4 linked regions of the Lepisosteus oculatus genome follow. The protein of the gene in region 1 binds, or shares a complex with, the protein of each later gene. Links are inferred from orthologs where the notes say so. Each region holds a gene or a part of one and is shown on either strand. Other genes may lie near its edges. The genes, in order: tmem67, b9d2, mks1 and ahi1.

What was found.
Region 2: tmem67 (region 1) and b9d2 share a complex: the UniProt entries of both Homo sapiens proteins name them as parts of the tectonic-like complex. The link is inferred for Lepisosteus oculatus from reciprocal best matches to the Homo sapiens genes TMEM67 and B9D2.
Region 3: tmem67 (region 1) and mks1 share a complex: the UniProt entries of both Homo sapiens proteins name them as parts of the tectonic-like complex. The link is inferred for Lepisosteus oculatus from reciprocal best matches to the Homo sapiens genes TMEM67 and MKS1.
Region 4: tmem67 (region 1) and ahi1 share a complex: the UniProt entries of both Homo sapiens proteins name them as parts of the tectonic-like complex. The link is inferred for Lepisosteus oculatus from reciprocal best matches to the Homo sapiens genes TMEM67 and AHI1.

What each region holds. Positions count from the first base shown.
Region 1 is NC_090705.1:7,410,556-7,417,469, forward strand, and holds the start of tmem67 (meckelin), read left to right. Parts: upstream 1-3,895; 5' UTR 3,896-3,912; coding exon 3,913-4,105; intron 4,106-4,600; coding exon 4,601-4,689; intron 4,690-5,520; coding exon 5,521-5,611; intron 5,612-6,335; coding exon 6,336-6,435; intron 6,436-6,518; coding exon 6,519-6,588; intron 6,589-6,914. Other genes in the region: rbm12bb (RNA binding motif protein 12Bb), read right to left, coding at 726-746. UniProt on the Homo sapiens protein: Required for ciliary structure and function. Part of the tectonic-like complex which is required for tissue-specific ciliogenesis and may regulate ciliary membrane composition.
Region 2 is NC_090698.1:6,671,926-6,679,080, forward strand, and holds the start of b9d2 (B9 domain-containing protein 2), read left to right. Parts: upstream 1-4,143; 5' UTR 4,144-4,257; intron 4,258-6,031; 5' UTR 6,032-6,035; coding exon 6,036-6,123; intron 6,124-6,244; coding exon 6,245-6,370; intron 6,371-7,155. Other genes in the region: cyclin-dependent kinase-like 1, read right to left, coding at 897-1,064. UniProt on the Homo sapiens protein: Component of the tectonic-like complex, a complex localized at the transition zone of primary cilia and acting as a barrier that prevents diffusion of transmembrane proteins between the cilia and plasma membranes.
Region 3 is NC_090721.1:453,756-461,220, reverse strand, and holds the start of mks1 (tectonic-like complex member MKS1), read left to right. Parts: upstream 1-4,452; 5' UTR 4,453-4,666; coding exon 4,667-4,743; intron 4,744-5,246; coding exon 5,247-5,368; intron 5,369-5,801; coding exon 5,802-5,866; intron 5,867-6,418; coding exon 6,419-6,574; intron 6,575-6,743; coding exon 6,744-6,841; intron 6,842-7,452; coding exon 7,453-7,465. UniProt on the Homo sapiens protein: Component of the tectonic-like complex, a complex localized at the transition zone of primary cilia and acting as a barrier that prevents diffusion of transmembrane proteins between the cilia and plasma membranes.
Region 4 is NC_090697.1:50,193,414-50,201,359, reverse strand, and holds the start of ahi1 (jouberin), read left to right. Parts: upstream 1-4,939; 5' UTR 4,940-5,150; intron 5,151-7,946. UniProt on the Homo sapiens protein: Involved in vesicle trafficking and required for ciliogenesis, formation of primary non-motile cilium, and recruitment of RAB8A to the basal body of primary cilium.

The sequences.
Region 1 (6,914 bases):
CTACAGGAAAAAATCATAACTAGACACTAAGAAAGAAAGAAACAAGCGTTTATGAAAGTCTAGAGAAATCCTCCATCTTCTCTGTTCATAAAGAACACAGATCAGTCTTCTTGCTTCACTCCATTTTCTGGAACAAACATCAGTATTATCCACACCAAATACAAAAGCTCCCGATGTCCAATTTCCACTGGAAAGTGTTCTTGCTTTTGAATGTTTCTGTCACATCCAATGCAGTGGCAATGCTTGAGGAATGTACCAAGACGGATCTCTTGCTTAAGTGCAAATTGCACAAAGTGGGACCAAGCAATTCAGTAGAGTGAGGGCTCCCATGTTCCGTGTATCCACTCCATTCTCTTTATGCCAAACAGATATCAATCAATAATATTGAAAAAAATCATCTATATTATCCAGATGACAAGCTTGATTTAAACAGACATTTATTCATCTACACAGATTTCAATGTATCGTAAAAAAAAGCCCACCTCAATTTACTTCAGTACCGAAACAACAAGCTATTGAAGAGATTCAAACCCTAAAACAAAACTATCCAAAGCCATCACGGACAGAAAGAACGAAGATGATGATAAAAAAAAACATCACAGATAAATTTCACAAACAATGACTGAGATCAAGAAAACTTAGCCGAAGATCTCCCAGGCAGTAAAATCACACAACGTTAAGTGACCCCGTCACTGCTTTAAAAAAAACAGCTCTCATCCACAGACCTGTGGGTAGGATGAATTCATTTCCTGCAGAATTCAAGGTGCAGTTGTTGTTCACATCAAGGTGAACTAAGAAATATCAAAGTCTCTGATGGATCGACTCAAGGAAATTAACCAATTTGCTTTCCAGATAAAAACCAAGCAACAGCAACAGCAAACTTCAGAACAAAAAATGAAACTGTTTCTACCATACTGTATACATCTTCCCTAGTCATTAGATAGAGAAGTGAGCTGTTAAAAAATATATTATTTTTAAATATAATTTTTAATTAAAAAGCTTTTAACTGCAATTCTATTTTAGAATAAAGATTCATTTTAATTTACTCTAAAACATGCATTTCATCTTTTACCAATTAAAAAAAAACCCATGCCTGGAAAAACAAGGAAATTGTGTGGCAGAAAAGATTACGTACTTTCTAAACAGCAAGTGGAAATCCCATCCACACACTAAATTACAGCAAAAATCAGACTACAACATGCATAGAATAAATCCTTACTTTCTTATACAACATTGCACTTTTCATTTTAAACCCCCCTATGAGCAGTCAGACCCCCCAGACCAGGTGCTAAGTGAAAGTTTCCAAATAAATGACGCAGCCCTATCCCTTGCAATTATACTGATTTGACAGATTATTCAGAGGAAAACAGACGGGTTTTCTTCCAGTGAACCCACAGAAGTTAAAAGTGCTGCTTTGTTGTGACAACCATAATATCAGAAGAAAGAAGAGCATACCAGGTTCCCGCAAACTTAATGACTACATAGGCAACAAAAACCTGTTGGGAGGTTCTCAAACTGTGCTTAATTGCTGCCGGTGTTTTGGATTTGCACCTCTCCTGATTGGCATTTTAAGGCGTTGCTGCTGTTGTCTGTCGCATGTTCAGAGACTGTAACTGAGGGAAGGACCGAATAGCAGGGGTCGTGTGGTGGGAGTCGACTGGACTGGGTGTCCACTGAGTGGAGCATCAAGACCGACCGACCCCCCCTCCGGTCTCTGCAATGAAAAAAAAAGTGGCACGTCTCCTTCAACCTCCTAAATCACTGCGAGGACGTCAAAATGCAACTAGGTTAATCCAAACCAAGTTAATGAATGACTGTGATTTCTGCAAACAGAACACCGCGCCTGGCGGCCCACAAAACGAGTAATTGTTTCACAAATGTCTTCACGCATCCGTTAAATTAACCCCTATACTGTATTTTAAATTCTGCATGAAACCCTTATTGTATTTGCCGTCTTCCAAAGTGACTCGGTCGTTAAAGCCTAATTTAAGATGTACCGGATATCGTTCAAATTGTATTACAGTACAAAACAGTAAATGGCATACACAGGCAACAAACAAAATAACTGAAAACAGGTCGCTTTTGTGGTAAAAGCAAACACGCTGCCTCACTCTGTTATGTACCTCTCATCACGTTATCTAATCTCATCGATGAACCTAAAGCAATTGGGAAAAAAAAACTGCTGCACGTTATTTCATAATCCAGCAGCGGTTAATCAATCAAATACATTATTTTAACACCCGTTTAAGAAAACAGATGCACTAACGGTATCAACAAAAACACAAAACAACACTGGACAAAGTGCCAGGAAATTTAAAACTACAGTATAACGGGAAGGAAACGAATATCTGAGAACCGTTTCGTTAAATTAAGCAACTATTAAAAAATACAACACATTATATTTGAAATAGCCTATGGACACGTAACAAAACTGCGGGTTAACAACATAAACCGAAAGGTCCTGAGCACTCAGACAATAATTAGACGGTTTCATGGAAGTACACGGAAAAACCCAGAACCCACGCAATTGCCTTACGTACAACAAATATAGAATAAAAATGATTACTTGTCCAGGCCAACAGAAAATATAATCTCCAGATGTCCCGAATCACTCCCCAATACAGGTAAATTTCGATATTAGAAGAAAATGGCGTCCCCCCTCCAAACAACGAGGAAAACGTCAATTACAAAGAACGTCACCATCTACGGAAACTCAGAATAGCCAAAACGTGTTTCTTCTTTTCGAAAAAAAATAATCATAACACTTGGGTTAGCTATACTTTAGTTTATACTGTACCGTAGCCTTAGTACTGTATCTCTTATTGTGCTTTTTCGCATGTAAGCGCATATCTACTAGACACTTTCATTTTTCCATTGATAAGGATGAACGGGTTACTTTCTCTGTAATGCATTGATCCAAAACATATTGGACACTTCAAAGGTTTCAGATCTATGCATTTTTGAGAATCTTCACTTGAATATTTTAGACTAAACTCTAAACCATCCCAAATTGAAATGCTTCATTCTAAAATAGCCTCTTTGTCTTTTGATATGTTGATGGTACACTGGAACATAAAAACGGCTTTGTGTGAACTAATGCTGTAAAGTGCAGACACTATATAGGCTGTATTTAAGGCCAGTCACAGGCTCAGGTTCATACATCTTCTAATCTTTCTGACTAGTTAGCAGTTTATAATTTGTAACCGCTTTGAATTTAATAATTAAATGATTTAGATCCTTCTGAGTGTATGTTTATAAACTGATCATTTTTTCATGTAGTTAAATATAAATGCCACTGTCAAAAGACTACAGCTTGACCAGATTTATAGGATTGAATTATTTAAGTCAATGCTTGCATCATACCTGGAATAATAAAGAAGCCATTTACTAAATGTAATGCAAACTGAGCTAGAGGATTTTTTAACTACTTCTCAACACTGAAGGCTCCATAAACTCAAAGCATATAAGAGCCTTTCAAAAACAGGATGTATAATCACACTTCCTTATTTACATTGGTTTTCATATGTAATTCCTGACACAAATCGTTCATGTGCTTTTGGTAAAACATTACTTCACTTCCACAAGGTATATCTACGAGAAGCATCAATTTAAAAGCTAAAAGCTGGCAAAAAAAAACGAAATTCCTTTCTAATCAAGATTTATTATCTCGTTCAAAAAACAATTCCTATCTTCATTACGAAAAAAATAAGCAAACATGCTTAATGCTATGACAAAAAATCTAACTGTGCTATGTACAGTGTATATAATGTGTTCGGTGGTAACCACATCGATCAGCAAACACACCTCCTTTCCTCTCAGACTCATGAAAACATTCCCACAAGCCTGACAGCAACAGCACAAGGCTCCGGGTTTTGGACGGTTGGATTCTGGGAAACAGGAAGGCTGTCTACCATGGCGACAGGGACGCTATGTGTCTTTATGTGCAGATCTATTTTATTTGTGTTGCTGAAATCAGGTATTTACAGTTGTCAGCAATTCTCCATTCCCTTTCAGCAACCCTCAGGGTGCAGCAGAGAACAATATTTTGACATTTCAAGTCTCTCCTGCGTGAAGTGCGGACCTAACCAAATCAAAAACGCAGATGGTAAGTATCAGTAGTATTTGATGCTAGTATATAAATCGGCTCGGCGCCCTTCTGATTTATCTTCTTCATCAATGGAGTCAACACAAGATGTCAAAATAGGTCTCCGCCAGAATGACTTTCCAAACAGCAATTTTGTCGTAAATTTGTATGTCATTTAGTTAATCACATTATTGTAAAATGCAAATGAAAAAAAAACAACAAACTGAAGTTATCATAGTCTCATTAATTAATGTAAGATACAATTAAAATAGACGAGACGTAAAATTCTGGTTTACCTAAATGCTGCTGCATATTTCTTCAATCGATGTTAAGCAACGGGCTGAACTGGATCTGAAAAATATGGTTTTAGGTGATACATTGTGGTTGCAGGCAGATCGTGAAAACAAAGTATCTGTCAACTTTATACTTCCGTCATCATTCCTAATAATTGTGTCATTCTTCTGTGTTCCTAAGGATAAGAGAACAACTCAATATGTTTAGTGCTTTGTGTTACAGGGACTTCGTGTATATGCGAGACTGGATTCGTACTGGTATCTAATAACGGAGAACCTGCAACCTGCGAAAAATGTCCTGATACAAAAAAGGTATGATTCTTCTACTTCAGTGCAGTTTCTTCTTTCATTAAGAAGCTGAAAAATAACTTAAATGTAGGCTGTATAGGAAACAAAAGTTGGAGTTATTTTATTTCTCCCTGATACTCCTGACTTATGGTTTTAATTTTGATATCGCTTATGTTTTTAAGATTTCAACACACAATCACACATTCACAGATCACACAGCCAACATCTTTATCTTTTTACACTCTTTCTTTTTAAACCACGTCCATATACCCTTGGGGCCCTGACTAGCTCCATTGGTAGTGCATGAGACTCACAATCTCAGGGTAGTGGGTTCATGTCCCAAGTCAGGCGCCAGGTCCTCCATGTTGGAGGTCGGGCACAAGGCTAACAACCCTGTTCTGTAAAATACTAAAAACAGGGTGTTTCTGCCCCTAAATGCCAGAAGGCGTAACAAGCAAACATCCCTCCATATACTATATGAGGTTTAGTCAATGTGTGCTCTGAAAATTGCCCTTGTATCATCCTTCTTTTCTGTTCTGTTACTAATTTACCATCCTCGGGAATAAGGGGATGTTGCTAAGAGCCCATCTAGCCCATTTGGTTGCTAGTAGCTAAGTGATCCAAGGATCTCAGCCAGCCATTTCTTGCGAGAAACTAAGGTCCTGGCTTGTTCCATGCTCCCACAACACTTTGTGTAACGATGTCCACATTCTTTTGTGTTGTGGCGGGGTAGCGTGACAGGTATTGGTCTTTTTAAGTCAGGCTTAAAAAGCAACTGTTCACAGCACACCTTCCCAGGTATGACATCTCTGTTGTTTTTATGTTTCTGGGTATATCTCCTGTCTGTCATAACAGGGAGTCACCAGGGATGGCTTTGGATGTATCAGATGCCCAGGAGGTTTGAATGACGATGGAACATGCCAGTGCTCAGCTGGAAGTATACTGGGTAAGATTGTTTTAAATCTACAATCTCCCTAGCGAGTTAAGGGAGAACTGGAACACTGTTTTTAAATTTCGGATTTAGAAAACATCAGCATTGATGAGTGCATTTCAAACCACAATAACAGTCAAATGTACACAGTAACTTGTAAAACCTCCAGTTTCCATCACATGCAGCGCCATGTTCTGCCATTCAGAACGAGGTAACAAAATTTCCAGTGACGTGAAGTGACTCTTGCTTGTTTAACTCTGCATGCATATCACATTGGAAACTTTCTGTGGTGCAATATCTGCTGCACAATCTGTTATTCACTCTGAACATCACGTTACATCAGTCATTACAGTGACTAGTGAGCAGGAAGGGCCGCATCACATCACACTTCTGGGGAACTTGAATGTGAGTTGGAGACAACATGGCAACTTAACGGTACTTTCCCAAAGTTCACGAGTTTGTGCTTAATTCAAAATTTGTCAAATTTGTCTAAACTGTCAATGGAGTCATATTGCTACCGAGATTTGATATGTGAGAAATTGGGACTGGAGTTTGCCCTTGAGCTGCATTTCATGGAAACAGATATTACTGTGGGAAATACTTCCTCTATTGTTCTTAATGTCTGCTTAATTGAAGGAATGCATGCTTGTATTGACTTAATTATAAACGCATATATTAACCATTTCTCCATGTTGTGTGTATGTTATTTTTCTTACTGACCTCACATTTCCCCCACCAGTTGAAAGGGATGTCAACGGAAGGCAGCTGGAAGAAGGGAAGTGTGAGCCCTGTATTGCTGAAAAACCTGTTTTTACAGTCCCAGATGTTCCTGGAGACAGGTAAATGACTCATTTTTAGTAAATCTCCCTCAGACATAAAGTATTTCTAGAAATTGTTTACTGTATGTTCTGTTTTCTCACAGGTGTGTCAGATGTCAAGAATCCTTTGTCAATACATCCCTCTCCTGTGTTTGTGGTCCATCTGGTACACCAGTACGTATTTTTAATGCCTCTTAAAAACATACCTATGTATACAAGTATACTTTGTTCAGCTCTGATTTGCCTTATTGAAGTAATACTTTTCTTACAGGACTCAGAGGAGCATATCACATTGTATACATATTTTCCTGTTTTGTTGTTGAATTGTTGTGTATCTTATGTTTTTTATGATTATTTTGTAGCTGTTGGTTTAAAGCTTTCATATGTGAGAAAGTGATATGAAGAAGTTTATCATTGTTTCACAGGATGCAATTTACAATTCTTAAGTTATTGTCTGATGCTGAATTGCTTTGTGGGTAAATGCCTTTTGAGATGTATTT
Region 2 (7,155 bases), on another chromosome or scaffold:
GTGTCTATGGCCAGGCTGTGGTCACTGAGCCTGTCCTCTCTGGACAGTCAGGTCAGTCCGTGTCCAGTTTCTATGGCCAGACTGTGGTCACTGAGCCTGTCCTCTCTGGACAGTCAGGTCAGTCTGTGTCCAGTGTCTATGGCCAGACTGTGGTCACTGAGGCTGTCCTCTCTGGACAGTCAGGTCAGTCTGTGTCCAGTGTCTATGGCCAGACTGTGGTCACTGAGGCTGTCCTCTCTGGACAGTCAGGTCTGTCTGTGTCCAGTTTCTAAGGCCAGGCAGCGGTCACTGGGCCTGTGTTTAATCAGGGTCTGTTTCACCTTGCTGTCTCTCACCCTGGTCAGATACTCGGCTGCTGTGTGTGATTGTGTTGACTGGGTGGGTGAAGCTGTGTGTGTGATTGTGTTGACTGGGTGGGTGAAGCTGTGTGTGATTGTGTTGACTGGGTGGGTGAAGCTGTGTGTGATTGTGTTGACTGGGTGGGTGAAGCTGTGTGTGATTGTGTTGACTGGGTGGGTGAAGCTGTGTGTGATTGTGTTGACTGGGTGGGTGAAGCTGTGTGTGATTGTGTTGATTTGGTGTGTGAAACTGTGTGTGTGATTGTGTTGATTTGGTGGGTGAAGCTGTGTGTGTGACTGTGTTGATTTGGTGGGTGAAGCTGTGTGTGATTGTGTTGATTGGGTGGGTGAAGCTGTGTGTGTGATTGTGTTGATTTGGTGGGTGAAGCTGTGTGCGCGTGTCTGGCCTGAGCAGTGTGGACCTTAGGCAGGCTGCTGTCGGTGTGGCCCAGGACAGTGAGCTCTTGCCTGGACCCAGCTCAGCAGGGCTCTCTCCCCTCTCCACCTCTCCCGTCACTCTGCCCTGCCTGGCTCATCCTTCTCGCCCCCTCCCTGTACCTTTAACATGCGGATTTCTCTCAGGGCAATTTTCCTGATAACAGGGTCATCCTCGGATTCCACAAACCGCTTCACGGCCACAATCTGGCCCGTGTCCCGGTTCCGGCACTTGAACACCACGCCGTACGAGCCCTCGCCGATCTTCGCCAGCTTTTCAAACTTCTCCATGGCAACTGCACGGAGGTATGAGACAGGTGTGGGTAAGGAGGCAGCTGCCAAACACAGAATGAAAAGACCACCATGTTTCTAATCTGCACTCATCTGCTTCTGAACTGGAACCCTGAAATATTGCTAATCTTTCAAGTTGCATCAGACTGCTCGACTGCACTGGGACTGTAACTCCTATTGTAACAGGACTGTTCCACTGTACTGGGACTGTAGCCCCTACTGTAACAGGACTGTTCCACTGTACTGGGACTGTAGCCCCTATTGTAACAGGACTGTTCCACTGTACTGGGACTGTAGCCCCTACTGTAACAGGACTGTTCCACTGTACTGGGACTGTAGCTCCTATTGTAACAGGACTGTTCCACTGTACTGGGACTGTAGCCCCTACTGTAACAGGACTGTTCTACTGTACTGGGACTGTAGCTCCTACTGTAACAGGACTGTTCTACTCTACTGGGACTGTAGCTCCTACTGTAACAGGACTGTTCTACTGTACTGGGACTGTAACTCCTATTGTAACAGGACTGTTCTACTGTGCTGGGGCTGTAGCTCCTATTGTAACAGGACTGTTCCACTGTACTGGGACTGTAGCCCCTACTGTAACAGGACTGTTCCACTGTACTGGGACTGTAGCCCCTATTGTAACAGGACTGTTCCACTGTACTGGGACTGTAGCTCCTATTGTAACAGGACTGTTCCACTGTACTGGGACTGTAGCCCCTACTGTAACAGGACTGTTCTACTGTACTGGGACTGTAGCTCCTATTGTAACAGGACTGTTCTACTGTACTGGGACTGTAACTCCTATTGTAACAGGACTGTTCTACTGTGCTGGGGCTGTAGCTCCTATTGTAACAGGACTGTTCCACTGTACTGGGACTGTAGCCCCTACTGTAACAGGACTGTTCCACTGTACTGGGACTGTAGCCCCTATTGTAACAGGACTGTTCTACTGTACTGGGACTGTAGCTCCTATTGTAACAGGACTGTTCCACTGTACTGGGACTGTAGCTCCTATTGTAACAGGACTGTTCCACTGTACTGGGACTGTAGCCCCTATTGTAACAGGACTGTTCTACTGTACTGGGACTGTAGCCCCTACTGTAACAGGATTGTTCTACTGTACTGGGACTGTAGCTCCTACTGTAACAGGACTGTTCTACTGTACTGGGACTGTAGCTCCTACTGTAACAGGACTGTTCCACTGTATATTACTTTAGTCCCCCATTGTAAAAGGTTAAAATGACATATCCTTACCTACACTGCAGTGGCCACTGGACATATCCTTACCTTGTAAGGTGATTATATATATTTTTTTCTGCGTCTACGTTGTCTTGAGATTAGAAAGCGTCTGGGCGACTCTTCATTCGTCCTCCTCGCTCCCCAGTGCAGATCAGTGCGCGCCTCTTACGGTGTGTGCCGGCTCCGCGTCCGTGTGTTTCTGTTCGTCTGTCTGCGTATCCATCTTCCCCTTAATGTACAGGGAGTGTACCCGTGATCTCGCCAGTCGCAGTATGCTCATATATCGGCTTTCAAAGGAAAGAACCTCCTCAGCCCTCTGGCTGCTCTATGAACGCCCGTCCTTCAGCTTTGGCGTGGGAGGCCGTGGCGCGCCCGCGTCGTCTTGCGGTCGTGCCGCCGATCCTGCGTGGGGTTGTTTTTTTGTTTTGTGCGTGAATGTATTTTCCCTTCCGCGAGTGCGAGTTCCGTGTTTGTGTTCTCGTGTCGGCTGTGTGTGTGTGTATGTGTGCGGTTGTCCTGTGAACCACGCAGCGCCTTGGTTACGGGCCGCTCTCATTCCGCCCGAGTGCTTATTTATTTATCGCGGCGCCTGGTCCGCACACTCCGCCGGCCGTCACCTGTTGAAGACAGCGGCGGCCCGAGCTCATTTCTCGGCTGGGCGCTCTCAACCGCGGCTGCCTACCCCTGCATTTCCACGCGAAGTTTTTTCACAACCCCCCCTCTCTCTCTGTCCTAACTCTTAAACCCCAGGCCCTCGGCGAAGCGTGTGAAAACAGTCTGCTCGTCTCTCTCCCTCCCCGTCAATTCAGGGGCAGCTTACGGGAAAATAAGTCAGCAACAGATGTAGCTGCAATTTGGGTTGTTGTAAGCAGTACCGATAGGCCAACTAGTTGCTGTAGCGACAGCACCAGGACCAGCAGCAGTATTAGTAGTATACACAACAGTGTTAGTACTAGTGACCGTAGTAACTGCAGCGATAGTTTTAACACCTGTAGCGGTGGTACTCACGGTAGCCGCAGCAGGAGCGGTTGTAGCAATAGTCGCTGTAGTAACAAATTGGCAAGAGTGTACACGTACACTACCTTTATTAAGCGCCTTCTGTCCGAAATAACTTAAGATTTTCAGGTTTTACACATGTATTTTTAGTTTTCATATTACTTCTGCATAACCTTTACAAGTCCACATTATCATAAACCTGTATCACCGACTCGGATACGGCGAAAGGAGTCGTCGCAGGGCTCGGAAAGTGGCACCAAGGCTCCGCCTGCCGGCAGTGTTAGACGATTGATTGTACCGATTGTAGTTAACGGCTTTCGACTTGTTACTGCACAGTTCTGCACCAACTGTTCGTTTTCCTTATCCTTGTAATGTAGTACACATCAGTACCGTTCCGCGCAGTGTGTCAGAACTGTACTGTTCCACTGCAATACTCTTTATGTGTGCTAGTTATAAGATGAATGGAGCAATGACACTTCGTACACACTCAGGGGAAACCAAGGCATAGGTCCAGGGCGATATTTCGAGCAGGTCCGTCAGTCTCCACGCACGCCTGCGTGGAGAACACGCACTGGGGTGGGTCATTAATCGATAAAGAGCCCACGGGTGTTACCTGCAGTAACTCATCGATGGGAACTTGATCCTCGTGGTACCATTTGGTTTTGGGCCAGCTCTCATTGATCGATTGTTTGGTCAGATCAGCTCACTTTATTTTACCTGTAATTACAGTACTTCCCGGACGGCGGTTCGACAGCGTCCCGACTACCTTAAAAAAAAACCCGAGCCCGGGACCACGTGACATCAAGGACCAATGGCAGAGCCCGGTGTCGGGTTGCTAAGGAAGTGGCGGGGACTCGCCTCTCTAGCCCTGGAGACCGCCGCTTGAATGTAAACAAGGAAAGTTAATTTGATTAATGAAGTAAAACAAACCTGGAAAGCACCGGGAGGATTGAAGGTAAAATTTCGGTGTCTTCGGGATTAAGTCGTGAGGTGTCTCACCACTCTATAAAGCTGTTTTTTTATATTACATGAAATACAATCTCGAGAGCGTCTTTACCGCTTGGAACAGCACCTGCATTGTTTACTATCTGGTAACTGGACAGACTGGTCTAGGTTGTGCCAGATAACGGAACGGTGTGATGTTACAGTAGAATAAAATGTTATTTCACACCCTTTTCCAGGTTTCTGGAGTTATTATTTTACAAGGATCAAACACCTGATTTTTTTCTGCAAGTAACTTGACGCGCCTGCCAGTAGGAAACAGCTCGTATTTCTATCACAGTGCATAGTGTGTGATTTATTAACAATGGGTTCGTAACAGCATGCTATAAAATGCGTTAAAACGTGAGTTAAGAGCATCCTACCACAAGTGCCTTCCCCTTTTCACTCCCAACTTAATTTCAGAGTGATTAAAATTAAATTGAATCATTATTTTCCAGTTTGTAACAACAGAGTAGCCTGAAAGAAGCAATTGTATCATTAATAGATTGAAGAATGCAGCTTTGAGGATGCATCTGCACTGAATCTGAGCAGTGTGATAAGAACATAAGACAGATTAGACATAAGAAGATCAGCAATAATATTATAAAGATTACATTACAAAAGAGGAGGCCATCTAGCCCATTTGATGGTTATTAATTGATCCAAGGAGCTTATCCAATCGTTTTAGTAAAGACGTCTGTGAAATGGTTTCAACAACAAGGCTGGGTAGCTTGTTTTGTTCCCTACTCTTTGGCTAAAGAAGCGTTTGTTCTATGCTCTTAAAGCGTTTCAGCATAGTTTACATACAGTACAGTGTGTGTCCCCTTGGTCATGTTCCATGGTTTAATCTGCTGGTATCCACTGGTCCCCCTGCGTGATGGTAATGTTTTTCCAGACATACAGACCAGCACTTCAGTGGGCTCAATATGAGAGCAAGTTAATTAAGTGAGTCTGTGAATTGATCATCCAATGAACGTTCTTCAAAGGTGAAGGAACTGACTCGGGTGTTTAAAATCCTCCGGGCCATTGAGAACATCAGCCCATTGGATGTCTTCAGAATCAACAGAGCAAAACAAGCGAACAAGTGGAAACGAAGGGGAAGCACATTCATCTTGTTTGTCACCTAACAATTATATGACCTTTATTTATCACCATTGTTCCCTATGCATGTAATAGAAATCCATTGGAATGTTTCACAAGGTTATGGGTGCTCCTGTTCTAAAATAACCCTGGCCAGTGCCCACTGCAGTGTAGTCCTCTCTCACATTGCAGTATGGTGCTCTTTGCCTCTGTGATCTGATTTCTTCCTCAGCGCAGCAGCCTTTAGGTGAGGTATGATTTCCCAGGTCAGATCGTTAGCACTGACAGCTGGTCTCGGTGCCGGAACAGTTCAGGGACCAGCCAGCATTGTTGTAAGATGAGGGTGTCCGTAAACCTGTGACGAGATGGCAGAATAGATGGCTATTGCTACAGGATGATGCTGATAATGAGAACAATCTACCTTACCTGTGAAGTGTATTTCGTATACAGTATCATTCACTTTTTTTGCTTTACTTGTATACAGGCTTAAAGTTTTGACAGTACCTGTATTTCATTTATCTTTCCAGTGTCAGTGTGAAATAGTGTCCTGTTGTGTCTTGTGTCTGCCAGTGTGTAACGGTGTTCTGTTGTATCTTCTGTCTGCCAGTGTGTAACGGTGTTCTGTTGTGTCTTGTGTCTGCCAGTGTGTAAGGGTGTTTCTCTCTCAGCAGGATGGCGGAGCTGCACATTATAGGCCAGATTGTGGGGGCCAGTGGCTTCCCTCAGAACAGCCTCTTCTGCAAGTGGGGTGTCCACACAGGTATTCACCAGCCATGATCAGGCCTACCTTCACTCAGTTCTAAACCTTCAATGATTTGATGTCCTCCCTTATCTCAGTGAGGACACAGTGCACGTGCGTTACAGTGTTGTGTGTGTTGCAGGAGGGGCATGGCGCCTGCTGTCAGGGCTGAGGGAAGGGCAGACACAGGTGGACTCTCCCCAGATTGGTGAAGTGGCCTATTGGAGCCATCCCATAGACCTACACTTTGCCACCAAGGGACTGCAAGGTACTTCCTCCTCCTTCTCTTTCCCTTTTCCCTGTCTCAGTTGCTTACCTCTCTTCTCTTTCTGTCCTCTCTCCTGTCTTTCCCCTTTTCTTCCTGTTTCTCATTCTGTTCCTCTCCTTTCTCTCTCTGTTTCCCCTTTCTTCCTGTCCTCTCAGTCTCTGTGATTTGGAAAAAAACAACATAAATGTTGCCCCACAACTGTAATCATACCTTACAGCACATTGTCTGTTCATCTGTCGAGTTAACTCATTTTAATGCACATCTATGTAAACCTTCTTCCTTTGGTTAATGGTTTCTGCGCTGTATTTAACAGTGAACTGAAATGGCCCAGAGTTTGATTTATGAATGCATAAAATTGCCATTTGTATTGAGCACACTTTTTTTTAAGATCAATTTCACCTTACAGTATGTTGTCTCCAGCTCAGAGCTGATGTTTCTGTACTGATGTTTTCAGTGTGTCCACACACTTTGCTGTGGGCCTCCCTTTTACTGCAAGAGGACCGCATCTTTTCACATGTGCTGTGCAGTGACGTCAAGCATTCTGAACTGCAGTTTCAGCAGAGTTAACCCTTGCTCTTTGTTTCTTGGATGGATGAAGACAAGCTAACGTTGACTCCCACTGTCAAGGGTTATACTGTAGTTCCTATGAAAAACGAGGGGTTTGCAGAATTCAGTTATGGGGAAGAAATATCCATCTGGGTGAATGGAAGACTTGCACTGACCTGGATTTTTTGGGGTTTGCTTTTTGATTATTTTTTTTTACTCCATCTGGAAAGAACAGTTTG
Region 3 (7,465 bases), on another chromosome or scaffold:
AACAGATGATATCAACTGGTCAAAAATAACCGCATTGCCTAAAATATGATTTCATCATTTCGCTAGATCTCTTGTGCTCCTCTAAGGGGCCCAATGAGAGACCCAGAGGCTGGGCTTGTTTGGTTCTGGCTCGGTTCTGAGGTGAATACAGATCCTGAGGCGTTCGTGTCGATGGCCCGGCAGTCTCTCGTGCTCTGGAGACGCCGGCTGTGTGTTTGAAGCCCTGCTCTGGCTTGAGCTGGGAACGTGTGCACAGGGAGCCTGACTCTTCCTCGGACCAGCGCTGTCCGCGGTATCCCCGCAGAGAGAGACCAGAAATGGGGACTCTGTGCTTCATCTTTCCCCGAAGGGGAACGTAGAGGAATCCGGAATAGTTGGCGATCATTCCCTTCTGCGCCACCGCTGCTTTCTTGCTCTGTCCCAGATCCCAGGTGTGAGAGGAAGAGTGGGAATTCAGATTCTTCCACATGCCAGTTTTGGAGTGAAGGAAGCCAAGGCTGATGTGGGAGATGTGAAGAAGCCCCAGAGCACTGACCCGCCTGCTTGTGTTTCAGCACCCACAGCAGCGCTCATGGGCGCCAGACCCGCGGTGGTGTACCGGCCATGTGGGGGCGCTGTCTGCACCCTGAATCTAGGAACTCTCCTGCTCTGACGCTGCTGTGCCAGGACTGTGCTGCTCCCATGGGGAGCCTGGACAGGGTCGGTGAAGACCCTCTGGGGTGCAGACTGCCTCCCCTGGAGCCTCTGCTGGGACAGAATATTCCTGAACCGTTGTGGGACGTTCGTGTCCGTTATCTCGAGGCAAAGATCATGAGCAGGAAGCATCCAAGCATGGAGTAGAAGACAAGATTGGGAAGTGTAAGTGGGCCTGAAAGTAATCTGTCTCTAGAAAAGCCCCACGTGCTGCTGCAGGCATTGGATTTCTTCCGGTACCTGTGGCTGCTCCCTTTCAGATCTTTTTCTCCAGCAGCCGTGAGTCAGGTTGAACAGAAAACATGCCCCCAGGCCAGACCTGCTGCTGCCTGTAATGTGTGAGACTGAGGTGCATTGTCCACATTTTCAAGGGATGCTCAATCACTATTTTAAAGCAAAGAGTCTGCATAGATTCTGATCTCTTTAAAAACTTTGATGAAAGTCTTTCATATACACACCAGCTCGATTGAATACCTGTTTGGCGCAATCGTGTGGCCCTTGACTGTACACAGTCCTGTTAACTCCAGCAGCTGTGGAGCAGTGTGATTCAGTCCAGTCTTGTAACATTGGCAGTCTGCAACAACAATGAGGTAACGTCCTGGAGTGTCCCAACTACTGCTTGCTGTGACAAATGAATGTGCACTTGAAGAGGGTGTCCTTAAGTATCTGGGCCTGATTATTTTTGCCTGTGAGCAAGGGGTTGGCAATCTGATTTGTTTATTGTGGAATGGGCTGTTTGCACACCATTTGCCTAAAGGGAAAATAAATTCCATTATGATCAAAATTTGGGGACTTTGTGCAGAGAAAGCATGTCGGTACATATATCTGTATCTTTCCACATACCCATATATTTAAAATACAAAAAGTTGGGTTTCCTTGTAGCAATGGGGGACCAGATGTGAAAATTTTAGAAAGGGAAGGCTTTTTTACCCTTGTGTGTGTGGTGGGGGGGGTCGACGCTTCATGTTTTTAATGAAGAGGAACAACAGCTACACATTTTGTTTTGTCCACTGAGTGAACAGCGAACAAGAGATTTGTTATAAGACGCTGATATTTACTCCTGGTCCTGGTAGCTACATTGGTAACTTACAAATCCTCAGTGGTGGAAGACTTATGAAACAGTAGTAATATAGATTAGTAAAGTGAACAGTTAATTTAAGAGTCCAGGGTGGAATGAAAACCAAAACATGGCTCTTCAGGAGCAGGAGTCGATATCCCTGCTTTCGATTAGAAATAAGTGTCCTATTGCATAGTATTTTGATTCATTTCAGTTATTTAAGTCTGCAATCTCTTATATATGGATGTTTATGGATTATTCAGTGTATTTGCATATATCCATTTAGTTAAAATGCAATTAGTGCTTTTTATGCTACAGCTCTTACCAACACTGCAGCTGGTAATTCCTGGAGTGGATCAAAATGCTCTGTTGTGGGAGGTGAGTTCTTTATTTTTTTTTTCCCCCCAGAGACTTTTGCAAGCAGAAAAAGGTTTTGTCACATAGTACGTCAATATTTTGTTAAATGACTGCTCATTTGCTTTTAAATTGGATGCCTTTGCTGGAAGTGTTTTTATTGTGCTGAGCATGTTCATTGTCTGGGCTTGACACTGTGTGAGTGGCGGAAGCAAGTCTTGGCTACTGTTGCTCATGCTTCAGCTTTGTGATGTTCAAGCGTAAATTGTTAAAAATCACGTCAAATCAAATTCCTACAATAACCGGTTTCCAGAGACTTAAAATAAGTAGTGCTGGGATGTATGTTTTTGTTTTTTGTACAGAACTTTGAAAATGTGTTTATTTAACTTTTTTTTTTAATTAAGCAAATCACAGCTTACCTCCATCCTCCAATTTTTTGAAGAGGCTGTAGTGGTGTGTTCTACAGTGCTTCTGTACTGCTGCTACAGCTGTTTCAGTGACACACCTGCGTATTTTAGAGATGTCAAGATCAAACTTCCTCCCACACTCTATAAAGACATGCTGGTGGGGTAATTGGCTTCTGGGAAGATTGTCTGTGCCCTGTGATAAACTGGGGTCCCATCCAGGCTGGGTCTTGCCCTGTGCCTGTTGGTTGGGGGAAGAGGGTGGAGAGTTCAGGGTCATGTTAGTGCCCTGTTGGTATGACCTTTGACCCTCTCCCCAGTACAAATAAAACTAACGTGTTGAGAATGAAGATAGTTATTAAAGCCCACTTTTCCTGAACTGAAAGCAAATCAATTAAGATGTACAATTATTGTGGAACGACTCAAAGTGCACAGCAGAGAGTCGTGAGTGTGCTTAGAGTTCAGCCTTTTTAGTTTTTCCCAACCTGTCAAGATGTTACACATTAGCGCTGTAGAAGCGATAGGTCTGTGAGTGAGACGGCTGAAGCAGCAGAAGAAGAGACTTAGAGCCCTGAGCCTGGCTCTGCCAGATCATGTTCTCACCAGATTGCTGGTGTGCTGGTCCTGTAACAAACACATCCACAGAGAGAGAAGGCTGTCAGTCCCCTATCATGAAACAAAGGCAAAACCTCCTGTTGGTTCTGCAAAGTCTGCTTGAGGTTTCTGATTCATAATTGTGTATTACTACGTTTTATTTTTTTCAAAAAGAAGGAGTTGGAGGGAGAAAAAAGAATTTGTATACAAATTGTATTTTAATGGAAGCTGAAAATGTATTTTTAAAGTACTGGACAACAACTTTTTATAAAGGAGCTGTGGATTTGGATGAACTGTGTGTTTTTTTTCAGATACTTTCTTACCACATTACCTTGTTTAACAATTCGGGGTTCAAGGAGTATCTTCCAAAACAAGATGATTGATTATACATGTAATATCTGTGAATTCAAGCTTACAGGAATATCTGTAAAAGGCCCACATGGAACAATAAAAATCTTGATGTGTAACTCGTCATCTCCATTGAGCATCTGAAAGGATGTCCTGATTAAGAAGAGGGTTTGCATTCTTGTACCTCTGGGTTTGATTGGTGGTTGTGGGGCCTGTCTGTGTGGAGTTTGCGTGTTCTCTCCTGGTGCGCGTGTGGTTTTAGCTGTGGTTTCCTCCCAGGAGCTGATGAGGAGCCCCTGCTAGCACACTGTAGTCGTAGCCCTGCGGCCCAGCCTTGTCCTCTCGGGATGGGCTGTCCTGCTCCGGCTCTGGCCAGGACTGGCGGCCTTCCGCTCGTCGCCAGGGCCACTGGGGGGATGATCTTAGGATGTTTCAATATATTTCAATATAGCGCCTTCTTTTCTCTGTGACGCATAAAACACCAAAGTCATGAGTTTGTGCTGGCTGTAGGGGGGCCAACTTCATGGAGCTCAAGGTAAGCCCTGCATGGTATTATAAATACAATATTTTGTACGTATTTTGAACCTTGCATTTTTGCCTTGTGTTCATTGTGTTTTGCAATAAAATATTGACTTCAGAGTAACTTGTAAAACTACTGAACAATCTAAAAGCAGGCATACGAAATACTTAGAACCGTTACAAGCAATAAGTAAAAATGAGCTCTTGCAGCTTTTCTTTAGCTAAAGACAGAGTCCTCATACGAGAGACCTTAGCAAACTAGCTGTCATTTGAACGGGATTTTGCCGACTCTCTAGACCGTGACGAGATTATCGCCATATTGAATTCCAAGCCCCGACGCCTGCGTCTGGTCTAGAAGGCCAAAACCTCACCAGAGGTAGGCACTGATTGTTTTTTTTTTTTGCATGTGTCCGTCGTGGCTCAGTAGCGTGCAGCAGCCTAGGTAATTGTGTGTGAGAGAGAGAGAGACCGTGTATATATACAGTATGAGGTTCCGCTAATTCTGCTGTTTGATTATACCGCTCGAGGATGACATTGTAAATTGAAGGGGTGCCCCTATGCTGGCAGGACGGTCAGTTAGAGCCCGGTCCACCCCAAAATCAAGTCCTGGCTACAGCCCCTGCCTCCACCGCCCTGTGTCGGTAAACCGCAGGAAACGAGCCCTGCCGTTACCGTGACAACACACACGTCCGCAAAGATGGCGGAGGGCTGGAGTGTGGATACGGGGGAAGGGGTTTATCGCTCCAGGGATCCAGTCGAAAACCTGAAAATAAGGTAACCAGGAAAGACCCGAAAACAAGAAAGATTTGAACGTACAAACAGAGCACTTCACAGATTCGTGCTGGTTCTTCTTGCCGGGAGTAACGTGGTATATTCAACGTTGCGAGTTCAGCTCGCCGGTTGAACATAACGATAACGCGTGTAAAGTGCACGTTCAGACAGCATCTAATCCAGTAGCGTTTTTAAAAAGAAGTACAGCATGTATTTCGACGTTTGCTTTTGGAGGTATTCCCGACATTCGCTACTTTATATTTTATATAAACGTAAGGGGTTGTTACATCCAAATGTAACGTTAGAGTTGTTTACAGTTTGTAAAGGAGGATTATGCTCGTACAGCTCCCTTTACTGTCGTATCGCAATTCTGAACACAATTCAGTGCTGTCTCGGTGCTGGAGTGTAGCAGAGTAACCTGTCAGTGTGGTGCAGCGCTGTCTCAGTGTGGCAGTGCTGGAGTGGAGCAGAGTACTGTGTCAGCATGTTGTGTCTCTGTGTTGCAGGGTGCGGCTCCAGCGCATCACGTCCCCCACGGTGTTCTCCCAACAGCTCCAGCAGCAGGCCTCTGCCCTGCAGGAGAAGGGCCTCATTGAGCTCCTCACCTTCAGTGCTCAAGCCAGCTCAGGTGAGTATGTGTGCAGGGCCCAGGCCCTCTTTAACTGGGACCAGTTTCCTGAGGAGATCCATATCCAAAGGGTGTTAGTAGGACGTCTGAACGCCTTCGTGTCTGGATCTCAGGTCAGGGAGTTAGCGCCAGCACAGAGCTTCCAGCATGGCAGTCGCTGATATGGAGCAAACCAGAGAAAAGTACAACCAGAGAGTATATATTTCCTACTGACGTCAGCTGGTGCTGATACCGTTTCTTGAGTGCTGGCAGTTCTTTAAAGAGATGCATTTCCGCTGCCAGGGTAAGGGTGTCCCGCCACACGCTCGCACACACTGTAGGAACACGGGTTCTGGTTTGTTTGTTGGCAGTGAGGACTGTGGAGGAGCGCAGTGCAAGTGGCGGCCAGTGTCTGCTGGGGGCCGCTCAGTAACGGGCCTGTCTTGTGTTCCAGCAGGCGGTCAGCAGGACGACAAGGAGGACGTGACGGTGGGCTGGCAGGAGAAGCTCTTCAGTCAGGTGGGGGCCCGGTAATTGGTCAGGTGGGGGCCTGTTCAGTAATTACAGATGCAGTAATAACATCGGCTGGGCGCTTCCCTGTCCTGATGGCAGTAGGGGTTACTCAGTCTTCAGTGAAAAAGCAGGAGGTACTGTAATGTGCTCAGGCTGCCACACCTGAAGAGTGTGACAGGGCCCTGGTGCTGTGGTGGGGACTGTGTTCCTCGCGCTCTGCGCTGGACGTCCTCGGAGAGAGTTCCCACACTCCCTTCTCTTCACGAGTCCAACCGAGTGAGGCTGCACACAGCACTGTCCAGTCTTAGGAAATCCAGGGAAAGGAGAGATGGATGTTTCTGAAAAGTGTGAAATGAATCCAGGAAGTCACCTAAAGCTGCATTATTATTGGGATTATTTTGCTCTACAATGATTTTGTTCCTGAAGAACCATGTCCGTGTTTTTAATAGGGAACCTATTTTTTCATGCCAAGCGCTAGCGTCTGCAGTAGGAGTGTAGTGGGAGCTGGGCTTTGTCTTTTCCCTGAGATGTTTCTCCTGACCTGTGGGGTGTGTGCAGAGTGAGGTGGCCCTGCTGCAGACCGAGGCGGCATGTCGAAGCCCCCTGGAGAGGCAGTACCATGCTGAGATCGCTGCTCTGGAGAGGGCAGGGGGGCGGGCCAGCCGCAGGATCTTCACCTACACCGACTGCGACCTGCTGTCCGGGGAGATGGAGGTGGGTCCGCTCTGCAACTGGCTCGGGCTTTAAAGGGCCAGAGATGCTTTCATGTTTATTGTGTGGCTGCTGCTCTTTCCTTGAATGGCTGTCTGTTGTTGCCTGTAGGATGCAAGGCAGAGTGCATATGAAGATGAGAGCACTTAGTCGCATTTGTGTGTCTCTGCAGCACAGTCTCCCAGTGCTGAACCCGGACTGGGCTGCCCCCACCTTGCTGGCGGAGAGAATGGCGCATGTGAGGCACAGGAGACAGGAGAGGCGCCCAGTGTGAGCAGCAGTCTCTTCTTCCCGCTCTGGCTGTACACATACACACAGCGCTGATAAACATTACTTTGCAAATAAATACAGCATTATGTAAAAGATGTAATATTTATTTGTACATTTATATGTTTTTTGCAAGTTTTTGTGAAACATGGCTCTTGGATACAAAACAAATTCGTAAGAAATCTGCCGAAGTATTATCATTTTGGATTGTACTGTGCCCATTTCATGGCCTGAGACAAGCTGAGTGTTACCTTTTTTAGGGACCTTTTAGTTACTCTCTGCCGTTCTTGAGGGCTCACAGAATGATTTGGTGTCCTAAGCTGAAGGAAAACGCCTCAAATGGTGTTGCATGGTGTAAGGAACTGTAACCTCCAAATATCACTTTGCCACCTTCACCTTCTATCCAGGGCCCACTCTGCTTCTCAATACGTTGTGACCTGTATGATGTCAAGCTACTGTTCACAACAGAAAAGAAAATGGTAAAATCTTCAGCCACATCACAATGTGATGTTTAAGACCAGCATGGTGCTGGCTGGGTGCAGTTCTACTTGTACCGTATGAGCCTGGATCTCTGTCTGACTTTGACTTTCCCACACCTGGCTTCTGCCCTCCAGGGAAGGCAGTGTG
Region 4 (7,946 bases), on another chromosome or scaffold:
GTGTTTTTTATTTCTCTACTTAACAGACATACAGTAGATGTGTAAAAATAGACAAGAAACAGATAGAAATGGAGCAGGAAGTGGGGCCTCACACTCTACTGGGCTGCTGACCCTCTGTGCACACTGCCAGTGTAGACTATAGTATTGACTACGAAGACCACAGAACAGGAGGAGCAGGCAGACATCAGATGAATGTAGAAAACATGTTAAAACGCAGCTAGTGTACAGGACCAAGTTTAGAGTTCCTGATGCCTGGCCTACAACTTTTTTTTTGCTGCTGGTCCCCTTGTATCTATACTGATGGAAAAAAGAAACACACCATTTTCTGGAACAAGAATACTATAGTTATACTGTAGCTTATGTACTTTCCCAAAAAGTTGTCAATTTGTTTTAAGCCCCCTGACCAGCAATACGGCTTGTGCAGTGAAGTATTGCAACTTGCCAATCACATGAAAGCTCGTTAGGTGCACTTTTACCCATTGAGGTCCAGGTGGAACAATGCCTGATCAGGTCACCTTTAAAAAGGCCTTAATTCAAAGCTTAGGTCACTGCAAGAGAAAGGCCACACTTAGGTCAGTAGTCAGTTTTCTATGCATTTCTATGCATTCCATAATGCCTCGAATGTCACCAGAAGCAAGGGAGAGGGCCATTGGCATGCTGCTGGTAGGCATGTCAAGGTTTCAGCAGACCAGCAGTACAGATAACCATCCAAGATTCGGTCACCCTAGAGTGACCTCACCAGAGCAGGACCGACACATCAGACTGGTCCATCTGAAACATCTGCCACCCATACTGCTGCTGAAATTTCCGGCAGAAACAAAGCCCACATCAGTGACAGGACAGTGAGGCTCCATGCTACTGACCTTAGAGCAAGGCGACCTGTCAGAGGCCCTCTGCTTACACCTCCTAGACGTTACAACCGACTGGCTTGGTCCAGACAGAGGCTGCGATGGACTCGTCAGCAGTGGCATCAGGTCCTTTTCATGGATGAGTCACTCTTCAGCCTGTTCCATTCAGACAGGAGGGCCAGAGTGTGGAGGAAGAGGTGCTGCATTTCTTTTTTCCATCAGTATATTTATCATATTTGTGTCTGTGTGCCATCTGAGCTGCCTGTGACTCCGTAAAAAACTGATTTCATGGATGCATCTTCAATAATTAATAAGAAGAGAATCTAATTTGTCAAAATAAAAATGTTCTATTTATTTTGTTTTTTTGGTCAGTGGAGAAGCAAGCAAAATGTGTAAAACTGAGCTGGTGGTGATAAGCTCATGAAATGCTACAAATGGGTGTGGACTTTAGTTATAGTCTGACAGACACACAGTACAGAATTAATATCTGAGTGAATATCTGCATCTTACACAAAATTAAATAAAGGATATGGCACATAGCTATCAAGCCATACTTGTAGAAGCTCATGATTCGCATTCACTACAAGTTTTTTTTCCCACAAGAACGTGATGGTTTAATCAAGGAATGCCTAAATCTGGAAGGCGTGACGTCAGCACATTACTCACAAAGTACAAAGGTTAAGCCCATGCTGTGATGCCTCCATTTTTTAGTTCTGTAGCATGGAAAACCCCCCACAAATAAATCTAAGAGAAATTCTGGTGAAGGACTTAAAGTGGGTCTAATGGAAAACACTTCCTTTGAAACACTATTAGATATAAATTTAACTGTTGCTTGTATATGAGTTGTGCACGTCATTTGCCCTGCCTCTACAAAGTAGAGCTAAAGGAAAATCAAGCAAGAAAATATTAATGAATGGGTCTTTATAATTCTACTTTATCCAAATGTTTTAAATATTCCACAACTGTCAGAACACTAATGATAATATATTAAAGGACTCAAACTTAAATATAATATTTTACAATATACTCTTATAAAGTTAGGGTCTCTGGAGCTCATGATTTTAAACATTGATTTTGCTTTCACACAGAACGCCCACAGCAACAACAACAAAAAAGAATTTAATGAAGAGATTGCATGTAACCTAGGAGATACAAAGATGTAGCATAAATGATATGATAAACTCAGCAAGTGACCCCAGCAGGAAGGAAGGAGTCCGCCTGATTTAGTGAACTGGCTGAAAACCGTGCCAATGGCAAAGTTAGCGCTAACCTTCTAGGTTTGGGGAAAGGGTGGAGGTAGATTTGTCTGCTACCTATTAATAACCTACTGCCAACATATATTTAAAGATGCATTTTTTTTATTTTCTGAAGAATCACAGTGGGTCCCTGGAAAAATGCTGTATATCAGTGTGTTAGCACGTACTGTGACACACTGTCAGATGAATTAACTGATAGATAATAAAATTAAGACACTCTGGTGACATACAGGACAATCTTAAAGAGAAGTCACGGTGCTTGGTGAAAGCTCTAAATGGTAACCCAAACCTAAAATGGAGCTGCTCACATACAGTCAAGTTCAATGAATGAAGTACATTTTCCTTTTACAAAAGTGAGCATACAGTAGATCATAATGAAATATAACAGCAATAAATGTATTATAATCAAGTACCGATCAAACGTTCATTAACAATATGTTGAATACTTAAGAAAAGTAATTTAGAAAAGGCATTAATATTTAACACGGATTTTTAATTTTGCATTAGTTAAAAAAAACTTCATCATTTTGAAAGGTTTCCTTTTCATAAAAAAGTGGTTTTGTAATTTAGGTTCTGTGATTCATCTCTCTGATTAATCTCTTAGGTTCTGTTTTGTGCAAATCCTCTAAAATGTTTCGCTTCATTGCTTTGCTAAAGATTTTGTAACCTGATTTGTAATAGAGAGTGTGAAATAGTAAAACGAGTAGTTTATAGATCACACGAAAGATAAATAAATCACATTTATTTCAAGTCACAGTACATGTGTTTTAAGAAGGCACAGGACAGTGGTTACAGAGAGAGTGTTATGGTAGGGGTTAGAGAGAGCGTTAGATTCTGGTAGCTGCTTACACCACAAGGGAATGTTTGAGACGAGTGAGTGGACAAGGCATGTAGGAGAGAAAGGAAAGGAAGCCAGCTGCTAAATATGAGAGGGTGAAAGTGGCAACAGATATGAAGCAGGAGAGGGATAGATTATATACAAAATGAGCAACAGAGTTTTCATTAAATATGGAAGAGGTGGTGCAGATCTCTAAAGTGTGGAGAGCATAAAACAAAACAGCTGAGGTAGCTCAGTCTACAAAATATATGGTTTTGGACCAAAAGTTTTATGGAGCAGATGGCTAAGAAAAGTATGGTAGAGGATTACCTGGTTTGAGTGGTTTCCTCCGGGTGCTGCAGTTTCCTCCCAGAATCCAAAGTGAGTGTGTGTGTGCATGTGTACTGTATGTCTGTGTTTTCTCAGTGTGTACCTTGGTGTTCTATTCCAGTGTATATCTCAGGGTATATCTGGGTTAGGCTCCAGCTCCCTTGTATTGGATAAAGTGGTCAGAAATAGATGGACAGAAAAATCAATAGTAAGCAAGGAAGACGATTATAGAATATATAATATGTCTGACTTGAAAAATATGACCTTGAAGTAGAGGAGTTATTCCATGAGGACATACTGTAACTGAAACACTGTTGCACAAATGCCAGAATTATGGAAGAGAAAGGAGAAAGGAATCTGAGCATTGTTAACAAAGAACAAAGAAGTGGTACCTGTGAAATAAGATTAGACAACCAAGAGACTAGGTGTGGAAGTAAATAAGGTGCCTGGGTGCTGATCCTTGCAGAATAACAGCTGTAGGTAAGCTAAATTAGAGGCAGTAGAATAACTAGAGAGCAGAAAAGATTACCATTCAAAATCACTGCAAAAAAAAAACAATGCAATTTCCAAAGGAGGAGGGAACCATAATACAGTGAAGTGTATCACAAACCACTCATGGAATTAGCACCTAGAGATGAAGAAATGCCTGGCTGATTTGGCCCTTTAAACTGATCCAAGAGACAAACTGAAACAGGTTTCCTGCCAAGTCATAGTTCTGGTTATTTTGTAAAACTAACTGTTTGGAATGAACCATGACCGAACATACATTCATCCCGTGTTATATAAGTAAATGTTTATGCAAAGGAGTTTACAGACAGAATTTCTCATAATCAGGTGGCAAATGCAGGAGCTATTTAGTTTGGTGGTATCTGATCTCCACCTGGTGGCAACAACACAATGCAGCACAACCATTACAGTGCATTGTGCGTACAGTAAATTTACACCAATGATGAAAGGTTTTTCAGTGAAAGTAAGAAAAACAATTAAGATTATGTTCAATAATTTGCAGATAATTAAATATGGTAACAATGATTGTATTTGAACGGTGCTTCTCATGCAGTACAGCACAAAACATCGTTTAAATAGATCAACGCATAAACATACTAAAACATTTCAAACATTATAATCATATTTTGAAATGTTAAGGCAGAAAATTGCTTATAGAGTAAATATCAATGTATTATTACACTAACCAATCACTCAGTCGAGGTTTGAAATATTAAGAAGGCATCGTGTGAAATTGAACGATATAATAATACTTTCAGTTTTAAGCAGTGTCCGGCTTGCACAATTTCAAATATGGACATCCTGTAAATTTAAGCTTAAGTTCAACTCACATTCACCCACCAATGTATGCAAATCACACACTTTAAATGTGATACATATGCCATTGTGCCTTAATAGCAAAACGTAAATTATTTGACAACGTTGCAATTACGTGTGCTTCGTGCAGCCTTTCTTGTTTGGTGTTTTTGCACTTTTAATATATACTCTGTCGAACTAATAAGAATTAAAAATGATGTTCATTCACATTGAAACATGACTACGACTGGAAGATTTAAAAAAGAGCGCACAACAGACCAGAGTCACAAACCCCAACTTTACTCTAGTCTCCTGTAATTTGTTGGTTTCTATGACCCCGCACGCACAGATTTGTTCCCTGCGCCACTGCACAAGACACCCTACCCTACTGTCTGCCGCAGGAGAGGACGCTTGATTCTGATTGGCGACGGCGTGCTGTGGCGTCACACGGACAGCGGCTCTCGCCAATGTTGTTGTTTGAGAAACCATCGTGACGGCTTGACTCCATTGATGCATTTGTCTGTCCTGGTGTGTTGATTCGTGTTTTAATACAGTAAACGACACACACAAAAGTCCGCAGAATAACAATGTACACAGGTACGTGTCTCGAGACTCAGCATGCATTTCAGTATTTAAAATATGAGTTCAGCTTGTTTTGATTGCGGGAGTAAAGTTTGCGGAGGATGCTGTTTTCTAATTATTTTTATGTAGCATCTTGATCGCGATTTCATGTTTGGGTTCTGTTTTCTCAATATGTCATTCGGCACTGTTGCTAAGGACTAGACGTGAGTCATGTTGTGGTGTCTGATACCAGTAGGGTTGTATAGAATTGACTGTTATCTCTCCATCATTCACCGAAACATCACCGTAAAGCTTAAGCTGATGTGATGTTGAGATTTAGAGAAGAGCGTTCAAGTTTCTGAAGTCGCTACATAGGTTTGATTCTTCAGTCAAGAATATATTCGCAAAAAGAAAAAATGTAGTACTCCTGAAATGTAAACTAAGCACTGGAGGAGTAGTTTACCTACTGTATATAACTGGAGGGTTGTGGGTTCGAATTTCGTGTGGGACACTGCTGTTGTCCCTTGAGCCAGATTGTTCCAGTAAAATGTACAGCTCTGTAGATGCAAGCTGCACACGCTGTGTGTGGGATAAATGACAAGATGCTATGATGCTATTGAAATTCAAGCCAAACAAATACATTTAAAACCACTGGTTTCACAGCTCATGACTAGAACTATACTTGGTGTTATTACAAGGTACATGAAGTCTGGAAGTAGTTCTACAGTTAATTTCCTCTGTAAACTAACCTTAAACATTTAATAATAATAATAATAATAATAATAATAATAATAATAATAATAATACACTTTATTTTATATAGCACCTTTAAAGGTGGCTTCTCAAAGCGCTTTACAGGATGACAATAACAATAAATAAGAAGACTACAACAATAAATAAGAAGATTTCACAAGATAGGACACAATTATAATTACAACAATACAACAATAACAATAGGGGGAGACCGTGGAAGGTATTACTAAGAAGAGCAGAGGGGTGAAGAATGGAACCAGTTAAGTAAAGGCTTTTCTGAAGAAGAAGGTTTTGAGTCTGGATTTGAAGAAGTTTAGAGAAGGTGGCTCTCTAATATCCTGGGGCAAAGAGTTCCAGAACTTGGGGGCATAGCAGGAGAAGGCCCTGTCGCCCATACAATGTAGACGGGCTTGGGGGACAATAAGGAGGGCAGAATTTGAAGAGCGGAGGTTGCGAGGTCGGGAGTAGGGCGATAAAAGTTCAGACAGGTATTGAGGTGCCAAGCCATGTAAAGCCTTATAGGTGAGCATGAGGATTTTAAAGTCTACGCGGAATTTGACCGGAAGCCAGTGCAAGGACTCCAGGATAGGAGTAATGTGAACACTTGCACTAGACCTGGTCAGGATTCTGGCTGCTGAATTTTGGACATACTGCAGCTTGTTCAGAGTAGATTTAGATACCCCCAGGGAGTAGAGCATTGCAGTAGTCAATTCGAGAGAATACAAATATGTTGATCATCTTTTCAGCCACAGTAAATGATAGCATAGGGCATAGTCTTGATGGGGGGTACCAATAAGCATGACTTCAGTCTTGTCACAGTTAAGATGAAGGAAGTTTTGAGTCATCCAAATTTTTATGTCAGAGATGCAATTAGATAGAATAGAGACAGCCACATCAGTGTCAGGTTTGGTATGGATGTATATTTGAGTATCGTCAGCGTAAAAATGAAAGCTGAGGCCATGTGATCTTAAAAGCTGACCAAGTGGGAACATGTAAATGCTGAAGAGCAAGGGGCCCAGTATTGAGCCCTGGGGGACACCAGACTTGCCAAGACCAATTTCAGACCTGTATTTAAGTTATTGAAAGATAAGCAGTGCTGAAGCAATGAAACAGACTCAAACTTTGCCTGGTTGTTATTCTCAAACATCCCCAAATAATGTTTTTGTAATGGAAATTTATGATGCACAATATTCTGAATGCTGACATTTCTGAGGCAATATGAAGACCAGAAGAATATTAAGATCTTATTGTTAGAATCTTATTTTTCAGTTACAATTACAACGATAGATTCACAGATAATAATTTCCAGTAGTCCTGGTTACATAAATTCTCATTAGATATTCTAATACTATTGAAAATTCATATCTGAAACCACTGTGTAGGGACTAGATAGTGTAGACATTGCAGCTATTTATACAGTAACTGTGACAGTTAAGGAGCTGAACAGAGTATTAGGTGCTCCATCTCTGGTGTTGGAGGACCACTTTGTAAGTCAGCAGCACCTGAAGAGCTGGGAGAAGTTGATGTATTGGTACAGTTAAGTCAGTAATGAGATGATTTAAGTGCTCAGTTTGAATGAAAACCTCTGTGCTGACATATATTGATATAACAGGAGCGGCATTGGACCACCTGCATTGCTGCATTGACAAGAACCTGTTGTGTTTCTGTAACAAAAAGAAGATAAACCTGTAATTCTGAAGAAATGAGGCAGAAAGCCTTTACTGTATTCAGTTTCCGAAAAGTAATTTTAGCTACATTTGATCATTAGGCATCTAAATGTAATATCAAATGTAGGTAAAAGTTTTTAAAAAACTGAATGTAGGGTTTTTTTCCTCTCTTTATGATTGAGATTACAGGGATATCTTATATTTCTTATATTTGTTACAATAGACACCCACTTATTTTGAGTCAGGGTAATAGTAGCTTGGAGTGACATCCTGGTTGCTCGGGGTACGAGGTGAGACTGCCTCTTCTGAGGGAAGAGATCTATTAATTTGCAATCAGAGAGCATTAGCACTTGCTACTCCTCTTGTAGGCCCTCTAGCCCTCTCCAGTACAGAGCAGCCAACAGGTCAGTGC